Linked DNA regions of Lytechinus pictus. The protein of the gene in region 1 interacts with the protein of each later gene in a pairwise test. Links are inferred from orthologs where the notes say so. Each region holds a gene or a part of one and is shown on either strand. Other genes may lie near its edges.

Region 1 (12,959 bases):
TTTATATTGATAAAAATTATATCAGGGCAACTAAACGGATAGCAATTTCGTATTGTAAAAAATGGTTAAGCGTCTAAATTAATTTTAAACAATGCGAAGAGAATAACAAAGAAGAAAGTCAATATTTTACCTATCTCCATTCTGCACCCCCAATCACCTGGGTTGATTGCACTCGGCCGAACGAGGAAACAATTTCATATAAAAGAAAATCCAGTTCATGGATTCATGCTATATTTTATTCTTTCAGACAATTCATTTGAAAACTATATACTTCCATACAGAATGACAATAGGTTTTATGTATTTTTTCATGTATTTTCTTAGCCATGGAGAATACCTACCTATTTTTCTCTCTCTTTTTGCTATTGTAAATCTTCATTCTGAATATATTTCAAATTTGCTCGGTTGTCCTTTCAAATAATGTTTTTGATTACATCCAAAACATACACTTATTAATAAAAAAAGATTATTCAGTTTGCCTGGGGATCGTTTAAGTATATTTTGTGAATCTCAGTTTGAAGCTTAATATATTTCCATACATGCAGAATGAAGATTTTTCTTAAGACATTCATATTGATTAAAATCATATCAAAAAACATGCACGCATTACCAAAATAATGCACTGCTTTTTATTTTTGTTAATTTACTTTCGTAGCCATAGATATATATTCTGGACGATTTTCATTCTTCAAGTCTTCTTGAGAGATTATCTATTGTTCTATAAACAATTATTGTTCTCTATCTTCCACAATGATATTCAGATTCAAACATCGTTCTATGCTTTTTTTACGGCAAATTAGATAGTTAACTCCTTCTCATCATTGTACTGTACTGAAGGGGGACCAGGAATGGATTTCTGTATAGCACGAGCTTCATACTGAAAGTATCCAATTTCGGGATGAGATTTAAAGACAAATTAATTTTTGTTATTGCTCTTAAATGCGTTCACCTGATTAAAACCACCCAATCAAAAGTAGGCCTATACGAATTGAACTTCTTGGCTCCTTTTCAGCCTCTCCGAAATATGAGGTGAATTTATGAATGTATTGGTTTTTTTTTAAATGACGTTGCTGTTTTCTTTATATCTTTATCCCTATCCTCATCGGACCTCGAAATTAGTATTGACCTTTTTCAAAACCCTGCACAAAAATCTTAGGAATTCCTGTTGAACTATTAAAAAAAAAATCCATCCATACTAACTAGTGGCAATGGAATACTTATGACATGTGATTTGTTAATTTCCTGATGATAAAACAAATGCTTAAGATTTTTCGAGCATTCCAATTTGTTGTAACACCAATAACCTTAAAAGTAAATTTGATTTCTTTATGCTTGTTAAACACATATTATTTAGAGATTGCAAATGAGTTACCAAGTCAAAAATACAAGTTTTGTGATATAGGGAATTGGCTTTAAAAGGGTAATGAATCTGGCTTTATTTGGTGTGTGAATTATTTTTCTTCTCAAATTGCATATAGTCTCAGTCTGGTTTATTCAGAATCTGAATAGGGACGTGTGTCTTTATGGTATATGCATTAAACACCACTCTTTAATATACTCTTGTCACCTGATGTGGCTTGATAAGCACCTATTACTGTTTTATTGTAATGCTGAATTTTGGTATTGAAACGGGTTTTATTTTTGGCGCGAGAATTCTTTTTTCCTAATTACAATCAAATCTATTATGTATTGTTTAATCAGATCAATTCCTGAAAAGAGACTTTTTCTTTATATGCATTCAACATCACTCTTTAAAATGTACTCTTGTCACCTGATAATGGTTTGATAAACACCTATGTCTTTATTGTAATGTTAATGAGTTAAGAAAATTCCAACAGTTAATTAAGAATACTGATTTCAAATACTATACTAATTACAATTTTTGCACCTATTATTCAGATTATCCAAATGAGTAAAGGCCACCGCACACCTTACGACCCGACTGGTCGGCTACTGGCTTGCGACTGAGAGAGGGGAGATGAATCGCAAGGTAGTCATAAGCCACGACACCGCACACCTTGCGATCCGATTTGCGACTCACGCATGCGCTTTTTGCTTTTTGGCATAACAACAAAGAGAATGCGTTTACTACTGCGTATGCGCGTTGTTTATCATATACGCGTCGTGCAACTCTGCTGTCTGATTGGCTGGAATTTGGATTGAGCTTGCGATCCAGTCATAAGGATTCGACATGTCAAATCCTTCCGATTTTCCTTGCGACTTGTCTCTGACCGGTCTGCGACTCTGAAGCTGACATGCGCTGTGACGTCACATCTCCCCTCACCCAGTCGCAAGCCAGTCGGCGACTGGTCGGGTCGTAAGGTGTGCGGTGGCCTTTATACCTCGGTCACATTTGCTCTACGGCGGCCATACGGCGAGTCAAAAACAGCCGTTTTAACATTTTGTGTACCAGCTACATATAGGTGCATGGTTTGAATACAAATTTATAAAACGGCTGTTTTCGACTCGCCGTACGGCCGCCGTAGAGCAAATGTGACCGAGTGTTTTATTTGGCCCGTGAATTCTTTTTCCGAATTGCGCAGAATAATCTATTGAATAGGGACGTGTGGCTTTATTTGCATTCAACGCCACTCTTTAACGTACTCTTGTCACCTGATATGGCTTGATAAGCACCTACTACTTTGTTATGGTATGGAACGAATAAAAGAAATGCCAACTAGTAACTTAGAATAAATCCATTACATAATTCCTTTTTTAAACTCGGTTTGGAGAGGATACTGTAAAGTAAATGAGTTTAAAATAATATCCGTTTTGTGATAGAAAATTTCTTTGGAATCGAATCATTTTCACCACCCGCAAAAATTTTCACAATTTCTTGCAATCAAACTGCTCTGTATCGCTTAGAATAATCTACTAGTATTTGAATAGAAAGCTATAGGCACCTGTAACTTATGTATTTACTAAGTTCAAAGTCGTAATCTTGAATTTCATCTATGTAATACGTGTCGATAACCTTTAAAGAGGTCTCGTACAAATCTGTGAACTCCAGGAAAGGGGATGAACTTGCGCAGACCCACAATCGAGCATTCTTATCTTACAAGTCCTCACAAACTCATATTGTTTCTTTTCTTTACAAACGCTTTTTTTCTTCTTGCTCCCAAAATTGCCTGTCTTAGAATTTTTAAAAGTCTTCTTCAATGACATTGCTCTTTCCCTTTTTACTCTATTTTGTTTTCTTTAGTTTACTCTTATTTTTCGCTGCAGGTATTGCTTTATCCCTACGGCAATGCATTGACCAACAGAGCCTTTGGTACATGTATACATCATTGTCACCTCTCTTGACGATCCTGTCAGCGGCGTAACAGGGGTCGGTGGCCAGGGGGGGGGGGGGCAAGAGCCAAAAATTTCCCGGTCATATCATGGAACAGGCAATGGCGTCATAAGGCAAAAATTTTGAGGGGGCGATATGGCGTATCGGGCAAATATATATATATATATAAGCGAGCGAGCAAACATTTTTGATATTTTTATTGCAAAAATCCAATTTTTAAAAGATTTTGACATAATGTTAAAAGATGATATCATATTCACCCTCCTCTCTCTCCTTTTTTCTCTCTTTTTTGTACGCCACGGTGAACATGATTTTTGTTATGATTGTGAGCATCAGGGCGAAGCTCTATATGCTCGAGGGGGGCGAGTATGGCGCTTGTGGCAAGAAGTAGCTTAATATAGGTCCCGAGCGAGCTAACATGAAGATAGATTTTAACGTGATATTCAGAAAAATATGATACACTTTCCTTTCTTTCCTCATTTTTTTTTGGTTTGGTTGTAGAACTGTTGGGGGCCATGGTCCAAACTCATCCATATAACAGTACGGTGCTTTATGGGTGGGGTCCAGGGCAGAGCCCCGGAACCTCTTGATATCAAAGCTATTTTAAACCTTACAGATGGCCACTTATTTAAATCAAATTGCGTGTATATTTATATAGCTTTAACACAACACATACATTCAATGCAGTTGTGTATCGTAATCATCCAAATATTAGGGGCACACCATAGCAAATGTGGGAAAATTTGTAAAAAGTTGCAAGCGAGCGAAGCGAGCCAGAAAAAAATGGCCTGTTAAAATGAAATTCTAATTATGTGATAGATTTTTACATCATTATAGCAAATATCATGTCATATATTTTTTTCATTCATCTCATTTCGCTGCCTCCTTTATTTTCTTTTATTTCCCCTTGGCTGTGGAACCACCCCCGGTACGCAAGTGCTTCAATGTAAAGCTTAATGCAGGAAGGGTCCATATATGGGCCCGTTATAGAACCCATTAAAGGTTACAGATGAAGAGCCCCCACTGCACGGGGTCTTGAGTCTTGGACAGAGCCTTTGGAGATTTAGCAAGTTTATGATAGACTTTCATACGACATTATGCTATATACCATTCATTTTTCTTCCCGCTCGTTATCTCAATCCTCGGCAGCCCGGTAGTGTACGTTATCTTGTCCCTATTCTTTATTTTCCAATTTAGATTTTGGCTAATTCCATTCTGCCTTTATTTCCCGCTTTTGTTTGCCTTTTTGTCATCTTTAATTTATTTCCCTGTCTTACTAATCATGCTAATGTATTTGTATATCGGGGCGAATTGTTTTTTCTCACTTGTTCTTTTTTCCTTCCTTTTCCCGTTATCTTTCCGTTTTCCCTTTTTCATGTTTTTTCTTAGTTTTCTTTTCCCTTTCCCTTTCCTCCTTTCCTTTTCCTTCCCCTTTCTTTCTCCCTCCTTTTTTTCTTTTTCCCGTTTTTCTTTTATTTTCCCGGTGAAATCCGCCAGGGGGGGGGGGGGGGGGCAACTTGTCATAATTTACTTACCCACTTGCCAATTTGAAATCTACATATAAAGTCTCAGGGATCTTAATTTTAAAGCAGCCATAACTTTATTTTTGCTTGTCCGATTTCTTTCAAACTTTCACCATTCTCTCTATTTTTATAATCCTTGTCATTAACCGAACATTTCATAACCAAGGCTGGATTCCCCTTTAACATTGAATATGAATCTTTACCCAAAATGAATATTTGTGCCAACTTTTATGAGCACGGGCTGAAAACTGAGAAGTAGTTTAATCTACAATGTGGTAAACATGGCAACACACTGTCTGACAAATGCAAAAAAAAAGAAGGTTCTTGCAAATCTTTACCCCAAGGCCAATGTGTGAGCAAATTTCATGAGAATTAATTGGTTCAAAACTGACGAAGTTCAAATCGCAAGGTTTTTACCAACTTTTTGCCATATAATGTGTTGTTACCATGGCAACAAGATTTCTGAAAGACACAAAAAATGTGTCTTAGACATCTTCACCTCAAGACCAATGTGTGTACCAAATTTCATGAGAATCGGTTGAAAACAGAGGAAGTATAGTTCTAACTGCAAGATTTTTTTACCTTATTTTATCATAATACACTGTTACCATGGCAACACAATTTCCAACACATGCAAAAAATGTGTCTTGTATACGTCTTTACCCCAAGACCAAAATATGTACATACACAGCACCAACATTTAACCCCCTCCACCACCCTAAGCTTCAGCTTGTTTATGCATCTGCATTCAGACACTTGGTGCATTGATATGTCAATTCACCACCTCATTATTTGCGCTATGATTACAATGATATTTCTTAAAGAATTATTTTTGTCTGCTTCAATATACAGTGCATATATCTCTTCCCCCTCTTTTCTCCTCTGTTTAGTTGGACCTTACCTCCAGAACAGTTATATTAAGGCTGCGTTTATGCGACCTCAAGTCAGAATCATGATTTGAATCATGATCTGAATCATGATTCAAAACACAAACATGAATCACAATATCACAGAATCAGCGTTTAGACGACCTTCATTCCAATGCTGTTTCTCCTCAGATTCGGGCCAATCCAGTGCGCATCACACTAGTGCGCAGTTTGACAGAGGAAGTTTTTCGCACGTGTTTCGGCTCTCGAAAAATCTTTTGCTTCCAGAATTCAGTCTATACCTCATTTTGTTTATTTCTATCATATACTTTATAGGTTCCATATGCTTCTATTCATCTTGTTAGTTTTTCCAAAATGGTGTTCGGAAGTGAATTTCAGCGTAGATCCAATTAATGTTGATACTGTATACTCAACAACAATTGAGATCATTGTCTGTCCAGTTAATTCATTTTCTAGAACTTGAAGTTGAAGACATGACCAAAAAATGAAAAGTAGTGGACGATGCGATGACCAACACAGAACTTGAACATGACAAGAAATGCATGCGTAGTACATAATCATACAATGAGCATATAAGAGCGCCTTGAGCTTGGCAAGAGTCAAATCGAAAGTAGCCCGACACAACAGTGAGGTCATAGAATCATGATTGTAATCACGATATCGTTTATTCGAACATTTTCGTACGTGATTCTGCAGAAACGTCTTTCCAAATGCCCCTTTTTTCGTGTTTCATGTTTGTGATTCTAATCATGATTATATTCAATTTCGACTAAACGCAATCGTGATTCTGCAGAATCATGATTTGAATCATGATTCAGATCATGATTCTAGGGTAAAAAAAGTGGCGGATAAACGCATCCTAAATTAATTTTTGCCATTACACTTTTCCTGTAATTTGATATGCTTGCCATATTACTTAAATAATTACATGTACTTTGTATATTTCATTCTATGATGTGCATCCAACAATTGTGTTTGCTTTATTGTAATTTGATTCAATTATCTGTCAGTAAGGATTTAGTATATAGTTAAATCTTTTTTCTTTTTTTTCAATTAATATTTCAGAATAATGCTCAAAAGTAGTACAGGCTGATCCTTTATATCCATTTGGTACAGTTGATTTTTTTAAATTCCTCTTTAGCAAAACTGCTGGGGCACATAAAAACCTAAGAATCTCGATATCATTACTATATTTTTTTAATTATTATTATTACTACGCAGTTCTTAATTTCTCTACTTTTTCTTCATCAAAGGAGGCGAGTTTCCTGTAATTTTACTATTTGTTGTCTCTATGATTGTTATGTATTAGGTGCTGGAGCCTGGCGAGTAGGCCTACGTCATTAATAGGAATGTGGAGGCATGCTAGCTCTTGCTGTTGTCTAGGGTATTCCTCCTTATTACATTTCATTGTTGCTTTTCGGGCTCTGGTACCTCACACAAATTTAAGTTATTTTTGTGTTTTTTATGTTAAGCATTACACACATTCCTTAATCAGTCCGGCATGGGTATTCAAATTCTTCCCAATACCCCTCTTTATTTCTTTTATCTTGCCTGGCGTTACATACTTTTTAAAATGATGTTGTCAATGTGTTTTATTTGAATTTTAATAATGTGCAATTTTATATATTGAATGTGCAATACTCTCTCAACGGTTTTTCCATGAGGGCTCGCATGCCTCTGGGCAATAAATAGTACTGAATTTTACTTTTGCGAGCCCTGGCCCATGGAAAAACCGTTTTCTTACTCTTTTCTTCTTCTCTTTCATTTCTACTTTATCCATATTTCATTATTCAATTTCAAATTGTATTTATGTAACTACATTGTACAATTTTTGTATGTTTTTTATGGCCAAATAAATAATAATAATAATAACAAACAGAATATTTAAACATAATATCTGTTAAAAAAAGGTTTGAATTTTAGAACTAAGCGGATGCAAAATAATGCACTGCTATTGAGTTTTACACTGACACTAGTCTTTATATTAGAACACTTTAAACTCATAAATTCTGACATTTTCACCCATATTTTTCACTAAACAGTTCCTGCAGCCAGATTTTTTGGAGCATACTCTATTTTTAATTCTTATCCATAAACAAAGGTCTGGAGAAAAAACATGCTTTTGTCTACCATGTCATTTGGCCCCGTGGGAGCAAATAAGAGCATATTACTAGTATATACTTCCGGATATATTACCGGTATGCATGCAGCATATGATCGATCGATCGCGCGCGCGCGCGCGCAGCGCAGAAACAGATATAAATGCAAGACGTTTGCTGCATGGCGGATGTATCGCTACTCTCCCATCAAGGAATTCATTATTTATAAAGGTTAAAGGTACGGCATGTTAACAAGTTTATTGAGATTGACACTGGTTCTACATGTAGCCCATTATTATTAATGAAGTTGTGAAGTAAAGACCGGAAAATCTTCCGGAGAAATCCTTCATTTCCGTACCTGATCATGCTGATGTGATGTGATGTGATACCGTAACTCATATTTTTGGACAGTGCTTAGCCTTAACGTACGCGGTACGGTACCGGTTCGTACGGTACGGTACGGTAGTCGGTACCTCTCTCTAATACATAGTACCGGTACGGTAGGTGATCCAAGCCAGGAGGCTTAAGTTCTAGAGAGTAAAAATCATTTACTGACGTAGGCTTACTCTCAATGAAGCCAGGTTCTCATTCACCTACACGAAGGACCCCAAAACCTAAAACTTTTACCCCCGAGATTTCTACTTTCCTTCTAGTTCTAATAGTACCGTAATAGGGCCTACTATAGTATAGGCCTACTTAGTAATGCCAATGGATCTAGCCCTAAGGCTAAATCATGATGTACCGTAGCCGTAGGCGTAGGCCTTTACTGCGGCAGCCCGAAAACGTAGGACGTCGTGTCGAGGTTCCCGGGGCAACGTAGGCCTATGCCTGTGCCTGTGGCAGTGAGTCCAAACAGTAGAGGCGCACGGCCAATATGGGAGACTCTCCAATACTAAAAATAGGGGAGACAATCTCCCACATTGACATTGGAGACTTGCTTTGCAAAAGGACAAAAGAAACAACACCAACAAAAGCATGATTTTTTCCACCCAAAATTTTGTGTCACTGAGGTCAGAAGCCCATTTGTTTTGTGTGTGATTGACAACAAAAATCCTTATCAAAACAAAATTAGACGGTGAAATTTTAAAGTAGACGGTGAAAAGGAGTAATTTTTTATGAGGAATCTGCAACACACCAGTGTGTTGGCTCAGTTGGTAGAGCGTCCGTCTCACAACCGGGAGGTCGAGGGTTCAAACCCTGGCCGCGTCAGACCAAAAGACGTAAAAAGATGGGAGTTGCTGCTACCCTGTTTGGCGTTCAACGAGTAAAGGGAAAGAGCCTCGTCGATCTGGCGCTGCACAGCGGCTGCCGGGCCCACGATCAATTGGGCAAAGCAAATTTTCAGAGCATTTCATGTCATGTCTATTTTCGAACAATAAATTATGGATTTTCATTTCATTTCATTTTTTTTCTTATCACATTTTTATTTGCCGCCAAGGTAATCCTTTTGGAGCAAATGTAAACAAAGGAAATTGGTCTCCAAAACTGGAGACTGTCTCTGAAATTGGATACCCAAATTCTTTACAAAAGTCTCTGATATTGGAGATAATCTCCCACATTAGAGACAGTCTCCAATATTGGCTGTGCGCCTCTACTGCCAAACTTCGCGCGTGTCCATACTTCGCGGACGGTCATTATCTAAAAAACTAGCCAATATCCTTAAAATCTGACGTAATCAACGTGAAAAGCGACCTAAAATTACCCTTTGGTGTAAGTTTCTTTAGGATGAGTTCAGTATTCATGAAAATATTGGCAAAAGATCGGCAAATTTGTCACCGTTAGCGCCCACTTTGAAGAAATCTGATATTCTCAACAAGCATCACGATATCACCATTTTGCAAGCAGAAATCATCAAAAATGTGAGTTAAATGTGGTACTAACCGATTCTATAGCATTTTGCCATCAATCTGATATAAATATTTCACTTTTTGAGCTTGAGTTTTTGTTTAAATGTCCACAAAGACTTTGGTCCACGAAATTAGGTCACACTTTTTCTGAACGGTTTTCCAGCACAGCGCGCATTCGCCGATCGGAATAGAATTTTGAGATCGCGATACCGGCGAATCCCCTTGACCTACTTTACATTTTCATCCATGATTTTATCTTGCCGTCAATGTGGTTACTATTTCTTGAATTGGTTTTGTATAAATTATGAATATTTTGTGAAAACATTTAAGCCTGATGAATATTTTTGAAAAGTGCGCGAAGTATAAGTTTGGACACCCCATCATACATAGGATAAAAACTTCATTTCCGACATTTCTACGCTTGTTATTTTTAAACAAGAATCCATCAAAAAAATGAGAAAAATATTGTGAAAAGACGGAAGAGACTTGCGTAATGTTGGCGAAGAACAATAGGAAACAAGATGGCGGCGTAAACATCGGGCAAGTCTCTTCCGTCTTTTCACAATATTTTTCTCATTTTTTTGATGAATTCTTGTTTAAAAATAAAGAGAGCGTAGAAATGTCGGAAATGAAGTTTTTATCCCATGTACATGATTTAGGGCTAGATCTTTTATTTTTTTTAGAAGGAAAGTAGAAATCTCGGGGGTGAAAGTTTCAGGTTTTGGGGTCCTTCGTGTAGGTGAATGAGAAGGAAGACCTGGCTTCATTGAGAGTAAGCCTACGTTAGTAAATGATTTTTACTCTCTAGAAGCCTCCTGGCTAGGTGATCCCTCCATTGGAGATTCTCAGAGACAAATAGATCAATTCCCAGTCCGGTAAGTTAGAGATTCAACATCAAGTTGGAGCGGTGGTCATGAATTTTATGTACATTCGTACTGCAGCTGCACTGCACTGGCAGTGCATGTGCAGAATATCGAACCGGTCTAGTCATCATGTATTGTAATACCGGACAGTCATGGACAGTAGTACCGTAATCATGTCAGTGCTCGGCCTCGGACAGGTAAAGGTTTTTGATGACTTCGTAGTCTCCTTGAACCTTGAAGAAGTATGATGGGGTGACCATAATTTGCGCACATTTTAGAAATCATCATGAAGTTGATTTTCATTCAAAAATTTCTCACAGCTCACACAAAATTAATCAAAATCATGAATACCAAACGGAAGGCAAGATCCTAAAGTCAAATTTGCTTGACGGAATTATAAAGTAGGACAAGGGTTTCGCTGGTATTGTGATTTCACAATTCCACGGCGATCGACTAGTGTGCGCTTGGCTGTAAAAGTGTCATAAAAAGTGTGACCTTAATTTGTGCACAATCATTTTGCAAGGCTTTAGAAAAGAAATCAAGCAGACAAAGGTAACATAATTGTATCAGATGGAGGTTAAAATGCCATAAATTCGGTTGGTATCACATTTTACTTACTTATTTGGAGACTTCGCTTGCAAACTGGCGAATTCTTGATGCTTGTCAAGAAGGTCGGATTTTCTTGGAGCGGACGCAAAAGGTAATAAAATTTGCCGAAGTTTTGCAAATATTTACATTAATCTTACCTTCAAGAAAATTAATATACGGTACTGGGTAATTTTAAGTCGCTGTTTCTGTTGGTGATATCATTTTTTTCAAAATATTAATTAGATATTGAGGTATTTGCCCGTGCGCAAAATTAGTTAACGCGCGAATTAAGGTCACACTACCATACTCTCCCAAAAAGCGTACACGCTGTCCTGGAGATGATCAATAAATTTACCTTGCCAAGTGCTAAAGAATATTCTTGCATTGATTTCAATGCTTATTTCATGGCCTGCCGACGTCGGCGATTATCAACAAGACTAGCGATAAAGACGATAACACTAACAGCCCATATTGGTGGTGTCATATTGATGCAAGGCTACTGAACTACTCAGTACTCTTCTTCTATTTACTCCAGTGTACAGTGTATACACTTGGCTAAAATGTATTCCCCCCCCCCCCAAATGCTTTACTTCAAATTGTGGCATTTGCTCCGGCGAAATTTGCTCAGCTATTAATTCCACACACCACTCAAATGACCAACTTCATCCCTGGATTCAAAGGGGAATCCAGCCTTGGCCTTTAAATGTCATGTTGGAAAGGAGAAAAATAGATTAAACAGAATGGTGAAAGTTTGAAAGAAATTGGACAAGCAATAAAAAGTTACAGCTGTTAGTATGGCCTTAGACCAAAAGCTTCAGTCTCTGTATTTTGGTTGTTCCGTTGAACTGCGTTGGCTCCACTCACCAATACATAGATTAAAGAGTTGTTGGCCCGTACGTACAGCCAACGTATTAGCAGTAACGTTAGATCACTCATTCAATGAACAAGGTTATGATATAACCTTGTTCTCAGTTATATCTCCATGTGTGGCAAAATAAGGTTGACAATGTTTGGATTATTTTCTCTTTTTATTTGGGACAAATGCTTGATTTTTTTACACTGACAGTTTCCATTACACCTATTCGTCATACAACTTGGCCCTTAAGTAAATTTGATGATTTAAATTATTTTTTTCTTAATTAAAAATAGCGATAAAAAAATGAAAATTTTCTTGCCATATTATTTTCCACCAATAGAGGGCGTACACAAAAATATGCCCAAAATTCAAGTTTTTGAGCGCTCTAGTGAATACAAAAATTATTCCCAAGTTACTAAAGAAAAATAAATTGCAATTGTATGGAAATTAGTAATTTATATTAACGTATATTTTCTTAGAACTTGTATAGTATCAAAAGAAAGATTAGAGTCTAACGAAAATAGTGGGCCTTCGTTCAAGATAATATAATGTCATTTAAAAAAAATAAAAATAAAAATCTAGACAAAACCCGGTCGCCCGAGTTGGTGACCTGATTACACATGCAGGCTCGCACTAACACACTACCGTCAGTGAATGGGGATTATAGTAAAATGTCATAAATTGTTAAATAAATACCCAGAAACGACGGTTATTCCTGTCTAGTATGGCCTATGCCAGGAAAGTTGTCCCTTCCCACTATAGGGAATAGGGATCTCATTTTCTAAACATCTATGACTTTCTTGTTGGTTGTCAAATTTCTTTCAAACTTTCAATATTCTGTTTTACATATTTTGTCCTCAGTATTTATGACCAAGATTTAATTCCCCTTTAATAATGCATCTTTATTGACCTAAACATTATTTTGCAGGATTTAAAAGAAATAGAGGATTACATTTACAAGGAATCAGAAAAGATGAGTAGCTCTGAGGAAGTATCATGGATTTC
Region 2 (12,387 bases), on another chromosome or scaffold:
CACGCACTCGTCTGGTTGTGGTGGACTCCTCACCTACCTTCGATTGACTATCTGTCTCTAGTTCCCTTTCACTGGACAAGGAGATAAGCACCAGGATGGGAATATCTGTCACAGCCATGGCCAAGCTCCTGAACGGAAATAAGTCCTCGAAAACGTACGCCGATCAATAAAAGCGGCTGAACACCTTCCATGTCAGCTGCCTCGGACGTATCCTGCACATGAAATGGCAGGACAGAGTGAAAAATATAAGGCACTTCAGCGTACGTGCATGCTGTCATCACCAGTTTATTCTCGATTCTTAGTGAAAGGTGCCTCAAGTGGTTGGGGCATGTTCGCCGCATGAAACTTTGGCAAATCCTAGAAGGGATTCACCAATGTAAGGTGAGCTATGTGATTGGTCTCTAGATAGATCACACCTCTGTTATAAACACATCTGCAAACGTGACATAAAACTTGGCCGGCATTAACACTAACACTTTTGAAGATGTAGATGATAGTCGTCATCTATGGAGAGCTACTAAGTACAGGGGTCAATACGTCAGAAAATAATCAGAATGCTACATTGGCACTTGGCAGGCCAAAGACCAAGGAGGAAGGCTAGGGCAGCATCACTATCTGAACCTGTTTCAGCGCCATCCTCATTCATCTGTACAAATTTGCTTTAGAGACTGCCTTCTTCTTCTTCTGTATCCTTCCTCCGCTGTATCGGAGATCCGCAGTTTAATACTGCATTAATATTAGCGTTACATATTTTGACGTGAGAGTAAGGTAGACCGAGAGAGGTAAATATTATGCAAGAAATTTAAGACAAGTAGGTTGAGGTCGTTTCTGGAGAAGTCTGCTAATTCGACGTCATGAAGAAACAGGACGGAAGCGGTAAATTGTTGAGGTTCTTGATCATTGAAATGCACAAAAAAATACTGCAGTTCCTCGTCTTCTTTTATTAAGTTTAGAAGTGTTTTCCTGTGTGTGCAAAACGCTGGGTATTCTCCAACAAAATGTACAACACTTTCCAGTTCGGAGTGGCAGAACTTGCCGGAATTTGTGGTACTTTGATTCAGAGAGAATAACCTTCTATTCGTTGGGTATGTACTGCAGGATAATTGAGCTCTGATGGACATAGCTTCCCTCAGGAGAGGGCCATGCCCGACCATAGACTTAGAGAAGATTTTTTAGCAATTGCAATTTCAAGGGCAGCATAGTGTTGTTTATAAATTTTTCCCAGTGCTAGCTTCTTCCATACTTTATATGGAATGTGATCTCTAAGGATGTTAGTGAGACTTGGAAGTTCATAACTATTGAGGATTTTTATCCAGCGTCTTACCAAGGGTGTATTGTATGATATACCATTCAACAGGATTCTTCTCTCAGTGCGCTCGTCTGAAAGGCTTGCATATTGCCCAAGTAAGAGAAGAATTTCATAGTCGATTCGCTTATCCATTGGGATGATATCGAGCAATAAATAAACAATTTCGTCCGCCGCACTCCTTGGCAAACCAAGCACACTTTTAAAAAGAAATGTTTGAGCCTTGTTCAAACGGGACAGCATGTAGTTGGTGAGTTGAATAATCTGAATCCCATATAGCATTCTTGGTATGCAGAACATTTTCCAAAGATGAGTACATATTGGTGGCAGCAGGCGTAGAGTTCCTTGCTTGGTTCCAGTGAGAGAGAAGAAGGTGTTATATACAAAGGTATTGCTCATCATTCTGGGGCAAGGGGTTCAAATTCAAGTTTAAAAGATGGCATCTGGCGGCCATATTGGATTTGACCTGAAGATGACCTTATATTGCAAAAATAATAATAGAAATGGATTCGACACACACCTAAACCCATAAAAGGAGTTCTTCCTCATCATTTTAGGGCAAGGGGTTCAAAAGTTAGTTTTTTAAGATGGCATGTGGCGGCCATTTTGGAATTATGCAAATTAGCAAAATTGCCCAAACGGCAACTTTGGGCAACCAAGCTGAATTTGTTCTAGGACCCCATAGGAACACAAATCAAGAAAAAAACTTCATCGGAAAAAACATTTCTAGGTTCGGAAAGTGTCAAATCGACTAACAAGGGAGACGTATCACACACACATCTATGAAAATATGAAATAATAATGATTTCTTCTAAAATTCTCTTCTTCAACCTTACAGAGTTAACTAACCATGAAGGGGATTTACTCTCAAATTTTGATTGCATGGGCATTTAAGACTGGGTATTTTTTACCTCTACCCTTTTTACCTTTGCCATTTTTACCTTTGCTATTATTACCTAGAGCTACCATTTTTACCTCTGCCATTTTTACCGTTGCCATTTTTACCTCTGCCATCCCAGGACAAATTTCAAATTTTACCTCTGCCATTTATAAAACCAAACCGATTTCTTCACAAGATTTAACACACTTACTTATAGAATGGTTTTCCCGAATGCTCTCTATAGAACTCCTCAGCTTGACCTCTGGTCAGCCTGGTCATCTTGGCATTGGTCACCAAGAATCCTTGCTGGTATGTCATATCAATAATGGGACCTATACGGGGAGGAAATCAGCAAGATTTGAGCAGATAAGACGCTCCTATTTTCATTACGGTAATATTAGATTGTGAAGAAGATTAATGATGATGATGATAGTGGTGATGATGGAGGTGGTGGTGATGATACATGCTTTCATTTTTATTAACGTAGAGGATGACAATGATGATACATGTATGTGCTTTCATTTTCTTAAAATAATGGTGGCGGTGATGATGATGGTGGTGGTGATGATGATGACGATGATGAAGGTGGTGGTGTTGATAATGATGATGGTGATCATAAATGAAGATGATGATTATGGATGATGAATGATGATGATTATGGATGATGATGATGATGATAATGATGACGATGATGGTGGTGGTGATGATAATGATGATGATGATAATGATGATGGTTATGATAAATGAAGATGATGATTATGGATGATGAATATGGATGATGATGTTGGTGGTGGTGATGATGATGATGATGGTGGTGGTGATGATAATGATGACGATGGTGATGATGGTGATGATGATGATGGTGGTGGTGATGATAATGATGACGATGGTGATGATGGTGATGATAATGATGGTGATGATGGTGATGGCATAACTTTTAAAGCATCAAATCCACTCTGCATTCGCTATGCACTGTGCACTCTGTTTTTAATCCATATGAACAACATTACATAAATCATGAATAAAAGTTCAGGATTTTGTAAAACAAGATCTTCGTTAAGTCAACCATTGTCTTCAAAAGACAAACTTAGTTTAGTAATTTACAAAACAAATAATGTATGAAAAATAAGTGTTTGTATATACTCACCAAATTTTGAAATGGCATCAGGTTTGATCAGCCCTAATGTCCTGAAAAAGAATGAAATGAAATAGATCATATTGTATTCCACAATATAGGCTACTATCTAACCATAAAAAAAAGATCTAGAGGAATTACTGAGAGATTTTCAAAGAACAAGTAGAAAACAAGTTTTAAATTACTTGATTAGGGCATGACGACCCTGAAACGCAAAAAGATAGCGCCACAAATTTTTTTGACTATTTTCTTTGAAACCTCGCGCAACTTTTGAGACCAAATTCGCAACATACGGGTATATGTGTACCGTAAGTCTAAGGGAGATATGACCTTTGACCTTGGTCATGTGATGTGAAACTCAAGCTGAATGTTCAGTAATACTTGATTAACCTTATGTCCAAGTTTCATGAACTAGGTCCATATATTTTCTAAGTTATGATGACATTTCAAAAACTTAACCTTAGGTTAAGATTTTGATGTTGATTCCCCCAACATGGTCTAAGTTCATTGACGCTAAATGACCTTTGACCTTGGTCATGTGACCTGAAAATAATGCAGGATGTTTAGTAATACTTGATTAACCTTATGGCCAAGTTTCATGAACTTGGTCCATATACTTTCTAAGTTATGCTGTCATTTAAAAAACTTAACCTTCGGTTAAGATTTGGTGTTGACGCCGCTGCCGCCGTCGGAAAAGCGGCGCCTATAGTCTCACTCTGCTTCGCAGGCGAGACAAAAATTGGCTTTCAAAACTTTTCTTTGTGGAAACCTTTAAATTAGATTACAAAGGTGACATCTGGAAAAAAGAAGAAGAAAATTTGAAGTGAAATTGGGTGTTAAATATGAAAATGTTTTTCACAAATAAATTTACATACTTTATTCATAATAAATAAAACAATTGTTTTCAGAATTTTTTTATACCTGTAGGCTCGTAGTTTCTGTGGTAAGGAATGTGCATGCCAAATATTGGCGTGATCGCGCAAATGGCGGCCAAGATCAGAAAAAGGGGGGCATCATGCCCCCCCTAAGTCCAGGGTACAGGTACATCTCAAATAGTCCAGTTCGTTTAGGGTTAAACATATAGAGGAAACATTGAGAGATTAGAAGAAAAAAAAAACAAGAAGATTATGAAGTTTTAGATTTACTCAATTCCCAAGCATGATACCATGTTGAAAAACTCTAGTGTACATGTAAGATGAGATCAAACTGGCATTAGACCAAATGGCAAGGATTATTAGAATTAGACCAAATATGGCAACTCGTTATTTTTGCTTATAAATACTTACTTCTGTTTGACATTTGTAAGCGCTCTCTTCGTGAAATCATCAGCATACTCAACCAGGTTCAGCTGACGTGAGTGAACATTAACAGTACTGCCAACAAAGAGGTCTCTTAGATGGACTGAATCGCAATGTGATCTCTTCAAGAACTGACGTCTATTCTTTAGGTCATACTGATAAAAAAGAAGGAAACAAGATTCAAATTAATTGAATTAAAGACCAAGTCATCCCAATGACAATTATCATTTGAACAAATTAAGATAAAACTGACAATTTTTAGCGTAATATAAGGAAATAAATAAGGCTGTTACTTCTCTGTTTTTATATAGATTATGCAAATTAAAATCAAGGTTTGCCATAATTGTAAAATTCAAATTCTTCAGTGATATGTACAAAACATATAAAGATTGCTGCTTCATCATTATAAGTTTTGTAAATCAAGTAAATCTTAGAAAAACATTGCAATTAATAGATAATACAAGCACTATATATGCGGATTAAAAACCCTTATTTTGAATACATGCTAAACACAGTAAACAGATGTGAATGGAAGATTTTTAATTGATGGACAGTTGTGTTGTTCATTGGATTTGCTTTGATTTTCATAAATTTAACTGTATTTTTGATTCAGTAATTTCAGAGGCTATTCATAAATTTAAACCTGTCTGAAAAATAATTGAGAAAGATTAAAATCTAACTCAACTTGTGATTGATCTAAATAGGTGTACCGTAGAAAATGTTGCATCAATTGCAATTCGAACTAGATTTTAATCTATTTCAGCTTTTTGCAACACAAGTCCCAGACGTAGGACAGGAATATCAAGTGCCGAAATACACGTATGTGTAGATTCTTAAGCTTCAACAAACTCTTGAGGTTTTTAAACAAAAGTGCGACAGTTTTTCCTCATATCAAAAATTTGGACAAATGTTGGATCAGAATTCATTGTGTTACAACATCTGACTTCATTTTATTTTATCAAATAATTTAAGTTACAAGGTTTCCCCTTCATACAATAAACAGTCATGTCATCAAATTCATGAAACTGTTCATTCATCAAAATTGAATCCCCACAAATTTGGGTTGCACATTTTCTACGTTGGGGAAGCGTTTGAGACAGGGGCCAATCTGATGCAAAAAAAATGCATACTGAGTAACCATTGCCATCTGGGTGGAGACGGGCAAAATGTGAATTTGTTTGTTTAGCAAATATATGAGATGACCAAGGCATTACAAACAAGCTTACCATTTCAATGGTGTTATCATTAGGGTAGAAGAGGAACTGATATCGTCTGATAATAGCTGCATTGTTGTCGTACCATTCACAAATGAAAGAGTAGCGACCATCTTGGGCAGAGCTTGCCTGCATGCAAAAAAGAAAGTTATTTGATAATATTAAATTATTGTACTTTTACAGTGCTTAATACATTGGAACCACATTTTTAGTGCTTGACAGATATAGGATTACCCCACTCATCAAATACTGGTATTCCGCAGGCAATGTACGCACTTTCTCCATTCCCTCAGAGTCTAGTCTTTAATTGGTGAGAGTAATCTTTATCGTATCTTTCGGTATCAATGATTATAAATGTTTCGTTAAACTATATTTTGATGACGTTTGGAATCATAAAAGTCCGTATAATTATCATCATTTTACAAAGTCAAAGAAGACCGTTATGGTTTACTTTTGTAAACTATTAAAATTGGGTCTCCCTGGGGTACCCATCTGAACGTCCACAACTGTACAAGTGATTTTTTAGTCATGAAATGAATTATTCATAATTTAATTTTCTCTACAATTGAATGCTCCAGTCTTCATGGTCTAAGTATGTATGATGCATAATTTACCTGTGCTAGTAAGTAGTATTTTGAAAAGATTTATTTACCAATTCATCATAATATTTGCAATTTTGCCATAATTTTTCTTTTTGAAAATAATGCTATTTTGTGACGGCGTCTAACTGACTCTAAACTTGTCTAAGGCAAGCCTAAGGCTACGTCTCGTTTGCTCTTTTTACCGATAGTATCGATATCAAGGAATTCTAGCATGTCTAGTTAGGAAGACTTTCGATGAAACAGGTTTAGTAAGATTGGAACTAACTCCGTGGTTGGTGGATAAAGATATAACTTGTCCATGTGTTGAGAAATTAAACGGGCCCCTGCTCCACTTCCTCGAGCGCAAGCGAGCCTTTGCCTCGGCCTCGGCGGAGGAGCTCCGCCTCCGCATGCCGCTCGGCTCCAGCTCGAGCTCCGCAGCTTGCAAGTTAATAAGTGGAAATAGGCAACTAATGAATATATTACATATTTATTTGATACAGTAGCCACTATAAACACTCACCATTGTTAAGCTTGTGTTCTAAGCAGTCTTCTCTCCTGAAAAGTGGAAAGTTCGATAATTCTAACAAGTAAGTTTGAGACGGTCTGCTGCAAAATTCGTTTGAGGTTGTCAAGCAACAAATTTTGAGTAAATCAAAAGTGGGGTCAGATTAAGAATTTTTTTTTTTACAAAAAAAGGATTAAAAAATTTGCGTTTGAATAAACAAAAATTTTGTAATGGATTATTATTTTTTTTGTAATAATTGATTGTAAAAAAATATAAAAATCAAGCAAAATATAAGTAATAATATTCAAGTCTTTAAAACTTATCGGCACCGTTATAGATAGGTGCGCGCCCTCTTCGTTAATTAAATTATAGGAGTTTGAGAAAGTCGAGACGAAAACAGAGACTTGTAAGACGTATTTTCTTGATTGTGAACGGTAATTGAAATGATCAAATCCATGAAACATCATCAATAAATCGACACAAGTGTATGTGCACTGCTCTTCTTAGCTTGTTCACGTGAATCTGAAGAAACAACGAGTAAGATGTCGATACCTCGACCTGCCGCAAATCCGGAAGTTGGCAGCGGGGGATCTACGGGTCTCGGTCCATCAGGAACGCCAGCGGTAACCGGGACTGGGACGTCGGCGAACCCCAAAAGTACCGACCAGAACCAGAGACTATTTTCCTTGAAGAAATGGAACATTGTGGCGATGTGGAGTTGGGATGTGGAATGCGATACTTGTGCAATTTGCAGGGTTCAAGTCATGGGTAGGTGTTGTCTTTTTGAATGCCCACATTCCACAATTCAATCTAAATTGTAATTAAAAAAATATAATATACCGGTATATATTTTCATTTTTTTTGTGAGACTGACTGAGCTGAGACTCGGACTGAGTTTGAGAAAGTGAGAGAATCAATCTAGGCCTATGCTATATGTTAAAAATAAATTTTATCTTCGTTGAAAATATAAACGCCGGCCAGTCACTTTCACTTTGTCTTTGAAATAAACAATGATTGTCGGCCGGTGGCGTACCGCCGTAATGCATTCCCATTAATTATGTCTGACATGAGCCAAAAATTTTGAGGGGGCCAGATGTTAGACGTGGCATATCGGACAAAATTCATAAAGTTGAGAGTGAGTGAAGCGAGTCGGAGTGAGCGAAGCGAGTCGGAGTGAGCAATAATTTTGACACTTATTACAAAAATCCAATTTTTTATGGATTTTTACAAAAAGAATATTCAGATAATAATATCATATTTCACTCTTCATGCCTTTCTTTTCTTTCCTCTTCTTTTTTGTGAATTGTGGTCATAAATTTGTCTCTTTTTTTCATGGTTGTGATGTTAAATTTTTTTGGGGAAGGGGCAATTAATTTAAGTGCCCCCAGCCCCCTCTCATTCGTATGCCACTGATCATTGTGCTCCATGTCTCTTCATCCATTCACCTTACTAGATTATGATTCAGGTATTTTGATGAGGAAGGCAGTATTTCTTCTCTTCAGTCATGTTTGATATTCCTTTAAAATGCGTGTGCTTGAGTCTATTTGCCAAGTTTTCATTTATTTAATTGTGCTACATGTATTGAGTATGAGTATTCCATTGCCAGCAAGCTTAGTTTGCAAAACCTCACAATAAACATATGTAATTATTTTCTTTCAGATGCCTGCCTAAGATGTCAAACAGAAAACAAACAAGAAGAGTGTGTCGGTAAGCCAATCGGTCATATTCCAATGTAAAGGCCAAGTGAAGTCCACCTAAACCTGAAGTCGATGTGAATTATAAGAGGAAAATTACTTGTCTATAATTTAATCAAAATCATGTTAACAAAGTTTGTTAAATAGGAGAGTGACTGTGACAGAAATTCATTGTGACTCTGTGGGATATTTGGTATTGCTTTTTCATTTGCAAAGTACATGTTTCTTATATTTTTTTTCAATTTTAAGTTTTAATTTTATCCCATTTTTTTAAAGTAGGGGTAATACTGATACATGTAAGGAAGCTGTTAAAGATTTTATCAGGCTAATTCTATCAAACCATTCTTTGACATTTTTCTTTATTTATCTTCATGCTTTGCAGGAATAGGTAATGAAATGTTATGCAGATGGAAACTTGTTGATAATTAGTTAAAACAGAGATGTATTGATTTGGTTTTTAAATATAATTGGGTTTATTATTCTAATTCTGTCCTTTTCAAAACAATGTCCAGAATATTTGGTTAATTTTCATATCTATCATACTTGAAAGTGCAATGTCGCCCTCTGCATTTTCTGAAGTGATATCTCATGAATTGAGCTGCTGAGTGCAATGTATGCATATTACATGTACAAGAAGGGCCATTTGCAAGAAAGTTGTACTAGTAATCAATTATCAATTATTTTAATAATTCACGCACTACATGCCTGAAAATGTAAAAAAAAATCAATTGATATTGATTAGCTGATTTCCATAGTTTCAAGTTCAACTGTTTTATAAATGCACATCCAATTGCCAATAATTTTCTTGCCATGCCCTCCCTCCCCCCCCCCCCCCCCCCCCCCCGTGTAAAAGTATCTCCATGTAATTCTTATTTCTACATCTCCGTATCAATCCCTTTACCGGTCTTTTTCAACTTTATCTTTTCAAGCTACCCGATGAAGCCTCCCCCCAGCCCTTTCTCAGTTTCCTCGTGTCCCAGGCGCATATCCAGCATCAGATTCTACAAAGCATTTCATGGGCCCAATTGTCTGGGGACAATAGGGACTCTATTATGCTTGTGCATGGGCCCATACATTTCTTTGTCTTAATTGATGCTGGATACACTAGTGTGTCCCCTCCATATTTTGTTCAATTTTATTAAAGGTCAAGTCCACCCCAGAAAAATGTTGATTTGAATAAATAGAGAAAAATTAAACTAGCAAAACGCTGAAAATTTCATCAAAATCGTATATAAAATAAAAAAGTTATGACATTTTAAAATTTTGCTTATTTTTCACAAAAGAGTGGTATGCACAACTCAAATGAGACAGTCGATGATGCCCCTCACTATTTCTTTTGTTTTTTATTGTTTGAATTAAACAATATTTCATTTTGTATAGATTTGACAATAAGGACCAACTTGACTGAATCATATAGTATTTAAACAATGCCCATTCCACATGTTCAGGGAGGAATTAATCGTTGTTTCACTTGACAATGAGGAGAAAAATAGAATATTCCCTATTTCATGTAATACAATACAAAAGAAATAGTGCGTGGATGACGTCTTCAGTCTCCTCATTTGCATACCCACCAGGATGTGCATATAACTGTTTAGTGAAATTAAGCAGAACTTTAAAATGTCATAAATTTCTCATTTTACATCTGATTTTGATGAAATTTTCAGTGTTATGTTTGTTGGATTTTTCTCTTTTTATTCAAATCAACTTTTTGTTGGGGTGGACTTGTCCTTTAAGTTTCAACTTACATGCATTTCTCTTGTCTTGTTCGGTAGAGCTTCCTGTAGGTTGCATGTTTTTCCTCTTATTTTCATCCGTTCTTCTCTTTCTCTTTGATGCAGTTGTGTGGGGCGAGTGCAATCATTCCTTCCATAACTGCTGCATGTCGCTTTGGGTCAAGCAGAACAACCGCTGCCCTCTATGTCAGCAGGAGTGGATGGTTCAACGCATAGGAAAGTGAGGCAACCACACCCTTCGTCTGTTCGATCAATACTGCCCTCACTGGGGGTTTAAGGCACATGACAGTGATCACCAAACTTGTGACTTTGATGTTAAATCTTGTAAGGATGTTCAGTGTTCACAACTCCACAATGTCTTGTGACTGTGATTTTGGACATTGTGCTTCCAGAGTTCCAGGACATGTTAAATTCATCGGGCATCTGAAGAGGGTTGCTCAGTGTTTGATCAGAACTGTGGACTGATGGACATAAACATGTCCTAAACTTCAGATAATGATAATAATTGATATTTGTGTAGCACCTTTCACAAGATATAACACATACATGTACACCATCACAGGAGGGAGTTTCACAAAGAGTTATCTGTCACTTAAAGTCATACTAATGTGCCGCATTTACATAATATTTAACGCATGATCTCCTTGATGAAATTTGAAAATTACTTGACAGGGACGGTATCCATCGAGTACAGTGGGTAGTTAGATATGAGGATATGGAATAACTTGGGCTTTGAAATTTCAGTTGAATCAATCCAATATTGATGAAGATTTTAGAAGAGGTTTGACAATATAGAGAGGTACAGCAGTATGATTCAGATTCAGAATATATATGTGTAGTAATTGTAAACAGGCTTTGACAGGTTTCCAATCAAAGCAGATTTGTTTCAACAAGTCTGGTCACTCAGATTATATTCAGTAATCCACTTGATGATTTCACATAAGGTGTTGGGTGCTTATAGATTCATTTAGACAAATCTAGTCACTCTGGTTATAACTATTCACAATTTTAATCCACTTGATAATTTCAGGTACTAGTTTGGTGTTACATATACACAGATGAGGCCAAAAGTTTACATACACCCATGGATTTCAGTGAAATTTGTTAGCCTGCCAAACATCGTAAAATTTACTATATCTTCAGAAATATAAATACTTCAATGACAAATTTGGTGTTAAATGGAAGAGTATATTAAGCTCTTTCACATGATTGGGATGAAACTGGGATTAAAGTATATTTCAGGTGGAATTTTCTTTGAAAAAAAAAGTAATATTAGTGCCAAATGTATTCTATTGTTTATTATATTTTCAAACATCGTTTCACAGAAATATTAATATCTATGATTTATATCATGATATGTCACCACTGAACAAAAAAGTGGAATCTGAAATGTTTGTGTTGAGAAGTAACTAGCACAAATATGAAATGTTTTTGTCAAGTTTTTATTTTTGATTTGTCTAAAATATGAAGAGTTTTGGGGAAAAGATGACACCTAAATATTTTTCAGCTCCTGATATAAAAAGCAATGTGATGAAGGGGCATGACATAGTCATTTATTTGATATCGATTTCGTCATGATAGCACAATTTTATAAGGTACAGTAAATTTTATGATATTTGGCAAGTGTCAACTTTTTTTTTTCTGGATGTATGTAAACTTCTGGCCTCAACTGTAGGTGGTGTCAAAAATAAATTCATGCGAACAACCTACTACTCTTTATCAAGTGTTGTGTTCGGGATTGGTGCTGGCATTGGTGTTAAAAATGTGCCACTGGGCTGCTCGTCTGAGCTCTAAAATTGACTCTGGATTCATTGGCCCATATTCTGAACACAGGTTTAAATTAAACCCTGGTTTATAGTTGTGGATTAAGTATGGAGAGCCAAGTGGGGCACAAATCCTTATCCATACAAATCCAATTTATTAACTCATTTGACACTCAAATTGTTCAGAATTGTCTGGGAATGATAACTAAAGTATTTTTCTTCATTATGAAAGCAAAAGGAATCAAAATAGTTAACATAAGAAATATACAATA

The links.
Region 2: the proteins of casein kinase II subunit beta (region 1) and RING-box protein 2-like interact in a two-hybrid assay, tested with the Homo sapiens proteins (2 studies listed by BioGRID). The link is inferred for Lytechinus pictus from reciprocal best matches to the Homo sapiens genes CSNK2B and RNF7.

Annotation. Positions count from the first base shown.
Region 1 is NC_087259.1:824,656-837,614, reverse strand, and holds the start of casein kinase II subunit beta, read left to right. Parts: upstream 1-7,947; 5' UTR 7,948-8,038; intron 8,039-10,455; exon of another isoform or gene 10,456-10,522; intron 10,523-12,882; 5' UTR 12,883-12,927; coding exon 12,928-12,959. UniProt on the Homo sapiens protein: Regulatory subunit of casein kinase II/CK2.
Region 2 is NC_087260.1:9,042,673-9,055,059, forward strand, and holds RING-box protein 2-like, read left to right. Parts: upstream 1-7,255; 5' UTR 7,256-7,464; coding exon 7,465-7,690; intron 7,691-8,581; coding exon 8,582-8,629; intron 8,630-10,457; coding exon 10,458-10,576; 3' UTR 10,577-12,061; downstream 12,062-12,387. Other genes in the region: nucleoside diphosphate kinase 7-like, read right to left, coding at 2,398-2,518, 3,334-3,374, 4,608-4,774, 5,846-5,968. UniProt on the Homo sapiens protein: Catalytic component of multiple cullin-5-RING E3 ubiquitin-protein ligase complexes (ECS complexes), which mediate the ubiquitination and subsequent proteasomal degradation of target proteins.